Macaca mulatta: one gene and its partner. The protein of the gene in region 2 purifies or fractionates together with the protein of the main gene of each other region. This does not show direct contact. Links are inferred from orthologs where the notes say so. Each region holds a gene or a part of one and is shown on either strand. Other genes may lie near its edges.

Evidence for each region.
Region 1: the proteins of PPP2R2C (region 2) and CCT6A purify together in Homo sapiens (affinity purification with mass spectrometry; 4 studies listed by BioGRID and IntAct, counting the BioPlex papers as one, with this or other methods). This does not show direct contact. The link is inferred for Macaca mulatta from reciprocal best matches to the Homo sapiens genes PPP2R2C and CCT6A.

What each region holds. Positions count from the first base shown.
Region 1 is NC_133408.1:72,119,493-72,125,008, reverse strand, and holds the start of CCT6A (T-complex protein 1 subunit zeta), read right to left. Parts: upstream 3,386-5,516; 5' UTR 3,302-3,385; coding exon 3,165-3,301; intron 2,732-3,164; coding exon 2,668-2,731; intron 812-2,667; coding exon 677-811; intron 1-676. UniProt on the Homo sapiens protein: Component of the chaperonin-containing T-complex (TRiC), a molecular chaperone complex that assists the folding of actin, tubulin and other proteins upon ATP hydrolysis.
Region 2 is NC_133410.1:6,563,294-6,568,966, reverse strand, and holds the start of PPP2R2C (protein phosphatase 2 regulatory subunit Bgamma), read right to left. Parts: upstream 3,191-5,673; 5' UTR 3,117-3,190; coding exon 3,047-3,116; exon of another isoform or gene 2,999-3,046; coding exon of another isoform or gene 2,971-2,998; intron 1-2,970. UniProt on the Homo sapiens protein: The B regulatory subunit might modulate substrate selectivity and catalytic activity, and might also direct the localization of the catalytic enzyme to a particular subcellular compartment.

The DNA of each region.
Region 1 (5,516 bases), on a different chromosome or scaffold from region 2:
TTCAGCCTCCCAAGTAGCTGGGATTACAGGCATGCGCCACCATGCCCGGCTAATTTTTGTATTTTTAGCAGAGATGGGGTTTCTCCATGTTGGTCAGACTGGTCTCGAACTTTCGACCTCAGGTGATCCGCTCACCTCGGCCTCTCAAAGTGCTGGGATTACGGGTGTGAGCGACCACGCTTGGACTATTCTCTTTTCTATAGGTAATCTCAAACTAATTCACATCATTTACTAATTATTTAATAAAGACTGCTCTCTTTTTCCAGGAAATTCTGACAACAGATTCATACTCACTGAGGTTTGTTTTAACCTTGGAACTAGTCAGGGCTTAAAAAAGTGGAATTTATCCAAATATAAGCTTTTGGATGCTTTTTTCCTAACAAATATTCCTAGTCCTAAACATTCCACTTTTAGATCTAAATTATTAATCTACACTAAGGACAGATACAAATCACATAGGCAATGCAACTTCATTACAAAATTATTTTCAGGCCAAGAAAGGTTCCATAACCTGTCCAAGGTCACAATTTGTTTTAGACCAGGACAAAGACCCAGATTTAAGCCCCCTAGTTCTACTGTATGGCCTCAGCTATTAACAGCACATCAATTTGTATAAATAAGTATCAGACACTTCCTATATACAATAAAATATTACAGAAACAAGAGTTGTGCATACTTCAGAAATGTAGAGATCCGCCTGTTTCAGTAGTTCTCCAATGATTAGGACATTGGAAGTCGTACCATCACCAGTTATATCATCCTGGGCTGTTGCTACCTTTGCTATTAAGGAAGCTGTTGGATGTTGAATTTGCTGAAAGTAGAAAAAGAATGAATCACTTAAAACAACATGAAGCAGTCTAAATATAACACAAACAAAATGTAGGAAGGGCCTCTTTAAGTGCTATCTACTTGAAAAAGCTACCCAAGTGTTTGGCTACAAATTACTTCGATTAGCTATCACGCACATGCAATTATGATTGAAACGTTTTCATGTGTAATTTATTTCCCAGGTTATCTCTACTTTACAGATGAGGAAGCTTGAGGCTAAGTAAAAGTTTACTCAAAATGACAGAGCTACCAGTTAACAGTAAAACATAATTTTACATCCTTGCCTCTTTATGGCAAGTGTATGGCTCTAGTGAGAATAAGTCAGGTATCTCCTAAAGGGCACACACATCGTAATTATTTTTGTAGGTTTGTAATTTTTTCAAAGAAAACTGAAAGACTTCTGGAGATTGGAGAGAGATTCCAGTGGGAGGAGACTTCTGAGGTGGTAGCAACAATTTATTTCTTAGCTACAGTGGTGGTTGTGTGTGTCCATTTTATAATTTTTTCTTAAATTGTAAATGTTCAACGTGCTTCTCTCTACTTATGCTGTATTTCTCACACACTAAAACCCAAATAATTTTTTGTTTTGTTTTGGAGACAGTCTCTGTCACCTACATTGGAGTGCAGTGGCACAAACTCGGCTCAATGACACCTCAGCCTCCCAGGTTCAAGCAATCGATTCTCCTGCCTCCGCCTCTGGAGTAGCTGAGACAACAGGCGTGCAGGACCACGTCCGGCTAATTTTTGTATTTTTTGTAGAGACAGAGTTTTACCACGTTGGCCAGGGCTGGTCGTGAACTCCTGGCCTCAAATGAGCCACCTACCTCAGCCTTCCAAAGTGCTGGGATTACAAGCATGAGCCACCACACCCAGCCCCCAAACAATTCCGACATCAAGTTTAACTATGCTCCACTTTTCCAACACGGGCCACCATTGAGCCCACTAAAAACAAACACTACACCTCCTAGGTTACCAAGTCCTTACTAAAGATATTTCATTTGGATGTTGATAGCTTGGTACGCTACTAGTAAAACCCTAAGTATTATTCTGAACTCAAATCAGCAGGAAATCATTTCCTGTTCTTGAACTGCTAAGTTTTGGGAATTCAGGGGATGAGTAAAACGCATACTCCCCCCAATAATCTCATATTCTCCATCCCTAAGACTTGCAAAGAGACAGATTTCAATCCCCTCCACTTGGAGATGCAGATGAGACCTAACGGAGAAATTGCTGTTTTAAAAAGAGAAAAACCGGCTGCGTGCGGTGGCTCACGCCTAGTAATCCCAGCACTTTTGGCGGGCGGATCACCTGAAGTCAGGAGTTCAAGACCAGCCTGGCCAACACAGTGAAATCCTCTCTCTACTAAAAATACAAAAATTAACTGGGAGTGGTGGCCCGAGCCTGCAATCCTCGCTACTTGGGCGGCTAAGACAGAAGAATCGCTTGAATCCGGGAGGTGGAGGTTGCAGTGGGCCAAGATTGTGCCACTGTGCGACACAGCAACACTTCGTCTAATAAAAACTAAAAAAAAAAAAAAGAAAAAAAGAAAAATCATCCTCATGCATTTTGCCCATGTGATTGTGTCAACCTCTCAATTTTTCAAATTTTATAATAATTAACTTTAATATACAATTACAGTCCTTTAGCCCAGACTGTGAATAGCAAAAAAGCAGGAATTCAAAGGCAGAGCTGTCAGACTCCAGGCACTGTACTATTACTGATTACATGCCACTTCTAAATGTTCTCCTGCCTTGAAAACGGACACTGCAAATCTTTCCACAAAGCAAACAATCTACGGAAAATCAAGACCTTTCTGACCTAGAGCAGAGCACCTCTCACCATTTCGTGAAGCAGCACATTGCCGTCTTTAGTAAGTTTGATGTCTCCAGCGCCAGAAACGAGCCTGTTTAAGGGACAGAAATGAATCAGAAGTGACTTTTCAACGATAACTAAAAGTCCCATTAGAAAACGGGCTCTTCCCAGATCTTACGGAGCCAGGGATATGTGGCTAGTTATCTCCCGCAGGCTGGAGGAACAGGTGTAGTGCCCACCCCGTCCCCGCAGAGATTGTGCCGAGTCCTCAGAGTGCCTGGAAGCCCCAAAGGGAGGGGAACGCCGCGCTCTAGAGACGCTTTGTTCTCCCCAGAGACGGCATGAACGCTGGAAGAAATGGCTGGGACGGTGGGGCTTAGCAGAGAACAGGACCGACCCCGAAGGACGCGGAGAAGGGCGGCTGCGGAGCCCCGAGGCGGCGGGCTCCAGCCCGTGGTCCCGGACCAGCCAGGTGCGTGGCGGCGCGCGGTGCCCACCCGGCCCTCCCTTCAGCCCCGCCTCACATCTTCATGGTGCCCTTGGGCCCCAGGTTGGTCCTTAGCACGTCCTGCAGACCCCGCGCCGCGCTGATGTTGACCGCCAGGGCCGCCTGCGCTCGGGCCACCTCGGCCTTGGGGTTCAGGGTTTTCACCGCCGCCATCGCTGCTCCAGCGGAGGAAAAGGAAACGAGGCTGAGAACCCAGAGCCGGCGCGGCGTGGCCAGGAGGAACTATCCGGGTCTTCTGGAAAAGTCGGCGCGTCCGGCCCGCCCCCAGCGTGCCCGCGCGCCTCCGCCATTGGACCACAGGTCGTCCGGCGCCCGCCCATTGGTCCGTGGCTGCACGGCGCCTACGGTCCCACCCCTCGCGCGGCGGCCGCGGCGTCATTGCGCACGGGAGGAGCCTATTCCCGGCCGACCGTGCTCCTTGGTTCCGGTGTCGCAGCTCAGCGGGGCCCAGCTTTGTGGACCCGGGAGCCCAGGACGCAGGCGGGGCTTGTGCTTCGCGGGGGCAGGGCGTAGGGTGGGCCTCCTCCCGCCTCTACTCTCGCGGTTTGCTCCTCAGTCTCCTTTCTTTGCTGATTTTATGCCTTTCTTTCTTTTTTTGAGACGGAGTCTCGCTCTGTCGCCCTGGCTACAGTGCGGTGGCGCGATCTCGGCTGACTGCAAGCTCCGCCCCCCGGGTTCGCGCTTTTATCTCTTTCATTGGAGCTTTCTGGACCCTGTGCTTGACGGTGCCCTAGGTGGCTTGGAGACACACGCGAGTCTGATAAGCACCCTGCCCCGGGATCATGCGGTGCTGTGAGGCCTAGCGAAGATGAAGATAGAATGCAAGGTAGAAAGTGCTGGATACCTTTAGAAAGCTGCAGAACTGGTGCGATGGGAGTTGAGACGTAAGAACCTGCCCGTCCGTAGGGCTCTGGATGCTGCTGAGGCCCGAGGCCCCCATGGCACATTTGAAAACTCACCCTTGTAGAGTCATTCCTGCCTTTGAGAGGACTCCCTATTAAGGTAAATTTCCAAAGAGCTCCACAATTGTTTCCAGTATCCAGTGTCCCGCCAAATACCAGGGATTCCGTAACACGTGATATTTTACTTTATTTATATTATTTTTGTAGACATAGGGTCTCACTATGTTGCCCAGGGTGGTCTCAAACTTCAGAGTTCAAGTGATCCTCCTGAGTTCAAGTGATCCTCCCGCCTCGGCCTTCCAAAGTGTTGGGATTACAGGCGTGAGCTGCCGCGCCCGGCTGATATTTTATTTTTAATAAATAATGGAAATTGTTCTGAATTCAAAAGGCACCAAAGGGCATGTAGTGGAAATTAAATCTTCCTCCCACCTCTAGTTCAACACTAGAGACAAAGTTACCCCTGGATACTCTATGAATTTTCGGAATGCTTTCTGAATTTATAAACTTATATATGAATATAATCATTTCCTCACACAAATGGCAATTCATAATACACACTGTAGGGTGTGTTATACTTTAAGTGTCTTGGAGATTGTGCTATATCAAGACTAATAGGAAGTCCTCGGTAACAGCTGCGTGATGTTCTTTGTAAGAATGACACAACTAGGGGCCAGGGCTCAGTGGCTCACGCCTGTAATCCCGGCACTTTCGGAGGCTGAGGCAGGGGCATCACTTGTGCCTGAGAGTTCAAGATCAGTCGAGGCAACATAGCGAGACTCCATCTATACAAAATATACAAAAATTAGCCGGGTGTGGTGCTGCACGTCTGTGGTCCCAGCTACTTGGGAGGCTGAGGTGGGAGGATCGCTGGAATCTGGGAGGCGGAGGTTGCAGTCAGCTATGATCTTGCCACTGCACTTCAGCCTGGGCGACAGAGCTGACCCTGTCTCAAAAAGAATGATACAACTAACTGGTCACCTACTGACTAATGTTTAACTTGTTCCTAATCTGCTATTCAGGCTGCAGTGAACATCTGGATATATGATGCTTTTAGGTGGGTTTGTGTATTTGAGAATCACAAAAACATCTATATATGTGACTAGTAGCACTGCACAATAGAAGATGAGTTATTAGTTCCATAGGCATTACATGGTGTGCATTCAGATTTATTATAACTGCTGTTAAAAATGTTATGAGGAGGCCAGACATGGTGGCGCATGCTTGTAATCCCAGCACTTTGGGAGGCCGAGGCGGGCGGATCACTTGAGGTCAGGAGTTCAAGACCATCCAGGCCAACATGGTGAAACCCCGTCTCTGTAACAATACAAACATTAGCCTAGCCTGGTGGTGTGCATCTGTGATCCAAGCTACTAGGGAGGCTGAGGCATGAGGATTGCTTGAACTCAGGAAGCAGAGGTTGCAGTGAGCCAAGATCATGCCACTGCACTCCAGCCTGAGTGACAGAG
Region 2 (5,673 bases):
AAACAAACAAAAAAAAAATCCAACCTGCTCTGACTAATTCACACCAACATGTGAAGGACTAACAAAACCTAAACTCTTCCCAAGATGTTTGAGATTTTACAAGAGACTCAGGAACTCAAGCAGGGCTCCCGTGGGCAAAGATGACATTTGACATGGGGCCCAAAGGATGAGAAGGAGTCAGTGGTGAGAAAGGCAGGAGGTGGCTGTTCCAGGGAGGAACAGCCGGTGCAAACGCCCTGAAGCAAGAAAGAAAATGGCCTGCTCGAGGAACAGGAGGTAGATCAGAGTAGCTGGGGTGTGGCGGGGGACTGTAGACGCAACCACTGGTAGAACAGGAGTTTGTGCACCTAGTTTTTTCTCAAACTGAGCTTTTTAGCATCCACTATTTGCCCACAGGCTCTTCCAGTTACAAGCCATATAAATAATAACAATGCCATGTGTTAAACGCCTCCAACAAGCCAAGCACTGTGCTGGGCACTTTCTGTATTAGCAAAATCACTGATCATCCCAGCAACCCCCTGTATGAAAGGTCGTTATTATTTCTCTCTTTACAAAGGGAAAGTGAAGCTCAGGAAGGTGTAGTAACTTGTCCAAGGCTGCACAGCAGTCAGGAGTCAGAGGCAGGATTTTAACACGATTCAAATCTGACATTCTGACATTCAAACCTGTGACCTTCCCTGTGCGCTGAGCACAAAATACAGTCAGGATGCAACAGTGTGAAAGTGTGTTTTTCATCAGGGAGGCCAAAATTCTACCTATTATAATGATGATGATTGTTTCTTGTTCCGATTCTGCTCTCTGCATCCGCAGCACCTGAGCCCTATGCCCTGCACACACGGGCACTCCGTCTGGACCAGCGACAAGGCCAGGCCTTGGTTTGTTCATCTAAAGGTGGGGATAAGGCATAGGTGGGCCTTCGAATGAGGTCCCAGCACACAGCAGGTGCTCAGCATCCTTTGGCTGCGTGTTAGCAATGCACAGCTCCGAACGGCTCCTTCATCACCATTGCACCTGCTCCTCACAGAAACCCCCAGACCCTGAGGGCAGGATTCACTCCCATTTCACAGATGGGGAGACTGAGCCCTGGTGAGAAGACAGACCTCAAGGTCACATAGCTCCCTGATAGAACACAGGCCGCACAAGGGCAGGGAGTCTTTGTCCAGTCCCCAGGGATAAAACAGTGCCTGGCACGCAGCAGGTGCTCGGTAAATATCTGGTGTCTGGATGAAGGATTGGATAGCACTGCTCTGACTCCCAGAACTGTGCCGTCCCCGTTGCTGTCCCCTGCTGAGAGCTGGTGAATTTATGAAAGAAAAGGGGATGGACGGGGTGCAGAGGGAATTAATGTTTGAAAATGTCCACCATGGCGCTTTCTACGCCTAGTCCCACAACAAGCCCTGCACCCCATCCCATCATCATCCCCAACGTAGAGATGAGCAAACAGAGGCTTGCTCCAGGAAGCCAGACCACAGCGAGCCTGGGAGCAGGAAGCAGCGGGGCAACCTGCCAAGATCCGCTCTTGGCCTGAGCCAGGCCACCGAGGCACGGGCCAGGAACCCGGCGGCTTCCTCCAACCCTCTGTCGCTGCAGGCTGCGAGCAGAAAGCACATCCCGGACCCACGCTGATCCCGACTCAGCCTCGCCGAGGCGGGCGACAAAGGGCCGTTCTCAGCTCCCCCGGCCTCCCAAAGCCGCGGCCGGGTCGGAGCCTCACCGGCCAGGAGGCCCGGGCAGCCGTGCCCCTCTACCGCACACACCCGGCGGCGAAGCGTGACTCAGCGGTTCTCCCGCCGGGAGCGGGCGCGGCCCCCGCAGCCTCCCTCTGCCCAGGTCCCACGCCCAGCCTCTGCCTCCCGGGCCAGGGCGCCCCGAGCCCGCCCGCGCCCGCGCTGCACTCCCCGGGCCTCCGCGGGGCTCCAGCTCCGCTCGGCCTCATTTCCGGCAGAGCCAGGCTTCGAGGAGGCGGACCCAGCCGCAGGAGCCCGGTCCCCGCCGCCCGGCCCACTCGGTCTCCCTGACACAGGCACCCACGCGCACCTGCCCCGCGGGACCCGTGCCCAGGGCCCCTCCCACTGGGGCACCCACCCAGGGAACCCGCGCACACTTCTGCGGCCGGGCCAGCAGCCCGTGGGTTAGCGGCTGACCGTCCCCGCATCCGGGCAGGGCTCCAGCACAGGCGTCCCCGCGCCCAGACCTCCCGGTCCCCATTCTCCATCGGGGTCACTCCGCGGGCCCTGCCTGCGCGCGGAAGCTGTCCCCACTGTTCCCCTAGCAAGGCAGAGCAGGGGGCCCCGGAAGTTCCCGGCCTGTAAGAGAGGGGCGCTGACCCACCAGCCTCTGGGTAGGGTGGGGGTTGGGGTTGGGTTTGTAGGGCCAACTTAGGGGATTTTAAACAGGGCCTATTTGGGATGACATGTCCCACTTTTTGGAAAATCCCGACAGTTAGCCCAGCTGCTCCTGTCTCAATATAACTCACCAGGAATAAAAAGGCCAGCCCCAAACTAGCCGCCTTCTCCCTCCCATTCAGGGACCCTGCCTCTGGAGGACAGGGAGGGGCCTGGGCAGGCGGGCCTCCCAGGAGGATCTGGCAATGGATTATGTTTTTCCCCCCCTAGGTCCCTCTTCTCCAGGGAGAAGACAGCCTAGAAAATTCTGCGGGCTCCTGGCAGGGCTGAAATTGCAAATCCAGGATTTTAAACCATTAAATTTCCCCGAGATTTCTTCACCAGATTAGCCACAGGCATGGCCTTTTAAAAAATTATGGTCAGGGCCGAATCAGGATGCCACCTGGCCTGAGAGCGGCTGCCTCCCGGAGGGCGGCGCGGAGGAGGGCGCTGCCCTGTCCGGGCGCTGGGCAGTGGAGGCCGGTACCCTCGGGCTCCCTCCCTCCTGGGCCCCGGGCAGGGTGGGATGGGGTGGGGTGGGATGGGGTGGGGCGGGGGGACACGACACACATCGCGCGGTCCAAACCTTCGGAGGGCATTCGGTGCGACGGCATCCCCACGCCGCGGCCGGCCGGAGGGGTCTCAGACAACACGTACGTTACCTTCAGTCACATAGCTGTGGTCCCGCAGGAAGCTGTGGTTAATTTTCCGCGTGTCCGTGTCCTCGCCCATTGAAGGCCGTGCCCGGTGCTCTGGGCATGCCCCGCCGCCACACACCGATGCAATCCGCAGAGGTCGCGCCGGGCGCGCGGGCCATGCCGCCGCAGCCTAGCAGGGGCGCGGGCCGCCGGGGCCCCGGAGGGAGGGCATCGCGGCAGGGGGACGGGCGGGGGCGGCCGGGGGAGGGCGCCGCGGTCAAGCGATCGCGCGGCGGGCGGGCGGCGGCCGCGGGTTCGGGCGGGCCGGGGCCCAGGCGCGCATCCCGGCCGGCCCGTGCGCGCTGCGTCCGTGCGCCCAGCGGCGGGGCCTGATGCCGGTGCGCCTGGTTGCGGCGACGGCGGCAAGGGGACGCGCGCGGCGCTGCGCTGCGCCGACCAAGCCGGGGCCGAGCTGGGCTGCGCGGGCTAGGGCCGCCGCCGCCGCCGCCGCGGCTGTCGCAGGCCCCTCCCTCGCGCCGCCCGCTCTCCGCCCCCGCGGCCCTGCAGGTGGAGCCGGCGCCCAAGCTGAGGCTGCACCGCCGTGCTCGGGCCCTCGCGGTAGGCACCTTGGTGCTGGGTGCGCCACGGGGGAGGGAGGAAGGAGACCGCCGGCTTGCGGGAGAGTGTGATCAGCTGAGCTTGGGGGGAGGGTACCTTGGGTGCCCAGGTGCTCCAGTTATGGGAGAGAAGGCCAAGGGCAGGGGGGCTGGGAAGGGGGCAGGAGGAGGGCAGCCTCGCAGGCAGAAGGCAGAAAGGACTGGGAAGGAGGGAGTGGGGTCGCAGCTGAAGAGGGCGCACCTGGAGAATGGGTACTCGTGGGAGGGGAAGGACACTGGACCCCTTCGTTAGTGGAAGAGGGTGGGTCGTGCAAGTTCTGGGGCCCCTTGGGAGCGCCGAGTACATGTGAAGAAGCTGGGTGGAGGGGGTCCAGCACCCGACAAGGCACAACTGGATGAAATGGCTGGAGGAGTGAGTGGGCCTCCCCCAGGCAGGGCCCTGAGATATCCCCTCATGCCCGCCTCTCCTGACAGGTGAGAAAGTTAAAGAAACACAGAGCTAGGTACATCCAAAACCAGGCTGGAAAATGCTTCCCCTCCTCCATCCCCTCCCTCCCCTCCAAGCCCAGGACTCTGCCAAACAGGAACCTCCCTCTGGTCATCAGCCTGGCACATAGTGGGCCCTCAAAAAATATTTGCCTCCTGTTTTGCCAAGCTGCCCCTCCTCCACCGTAACCCACCGCCTAATGAATCACAGTCCCCTGCACGGGGCAAAGCCTCAGGGGGATTCAGAGGTGTGGGTGAGGAACCATCAGGCCTCCCTGGGAGCTCAACAGAGCCTTCTTGGAAAGGGAGGGACTCTGCGGCTTGCCTGGGAGGGGTAAGTGCAGTGGGATAACCAAAGCTGCAGGGGCTCTTGGGCCTAAGGCATTAGTGGAGCCATGTTCCAGGTGGGGACTGGTCTGTAATGGCCTCCACTTGTTTCAAATGGTTTTGGGAGAACTCCAGACAGCTCCCCAAACTGCAGTGGAAGTAGGAGAGTCCAAAGGTGTTGGGGCAGGGAGAGTGGGGCTGTGGGAAAGACAAGGGAAGGTGATGCCATCTCAGGTTTCTTGGAGAGTGAGAGGGAGTTTTTGAAGCTACAGCTGGGCTTTCGTGCCTTAGAAATCCCCAGAATGGACCTATGAGGAGATGAAAGGTCCCCACCAGCCCTATCAGCACTTTGCAGGGTGTCATGCAAGGGCTGGCCTGGGGAGAGGCCCCAGGGCCCTGCCAGCACCTGCTTTGGCAGGTGCCCTGCCCTTCACAGCCTCCACCTTTTCACTGTGGAACAAGCCAAAATCTCCCAGGCGTGCAGACTCCATTCAAAGACCAGGTAAATGCAAGGGCCGGAAGGATGTGCTTGTTCTTTGTCGCTTTCTATCCCGTAGGAAAGTGAATGACACCCACATCGGCCCCCACCCACCAGCCTGGCATGTTCTCCTCTCTCTCTCACACCTGTCCGCTCATATGCCCCCCACCTCACATCCTAAGCCCAGCCCCCCACTCTCTGTCCACACCCCCTCACCTCTCTAGCAGGGGCCAGCAAAATGGCTACGCTGGGAGAAAGACAAGCTGGGTTCAAGTCCTGACCACGAGGCAGCCTAGGCACAACCTCATCATCATGTGATGGCAGGAGTGGGAGTGGCCCCACGGGTTTGGGTGGCCAGTCCTGCTCAGCAGGGGCCAGGCCTCCTGTGAGCTCTCTTGTTATCATGCTAAGGCCCACCCTCCTGCACATTCGTCAGTCTCCCTCTCTGATCATGGAGAGGTCCCCTCTCCCCATCTGTCAATCCTGCCAAAACACCCGCCCTATGCTGGCATCAGCCTCATCTCCCGGGATGTCCTGGACTGCAATGTAAACAGCCCCACTTGGCCCGACACAATAAATCATCCCTTTCGTCAGCTTCTGAGCCGTGCTGGGGACCCTGCAGTGGGTGGTCTTTCCAACCTGACTGGGCCCCAAGGCCTGCATCCATCCCCTTGTCACCCCTCACCACCCCATCCTGTCCCACCCCCACCACAAGTAGTGGCTGGGATCCTCCAGACTGTCTC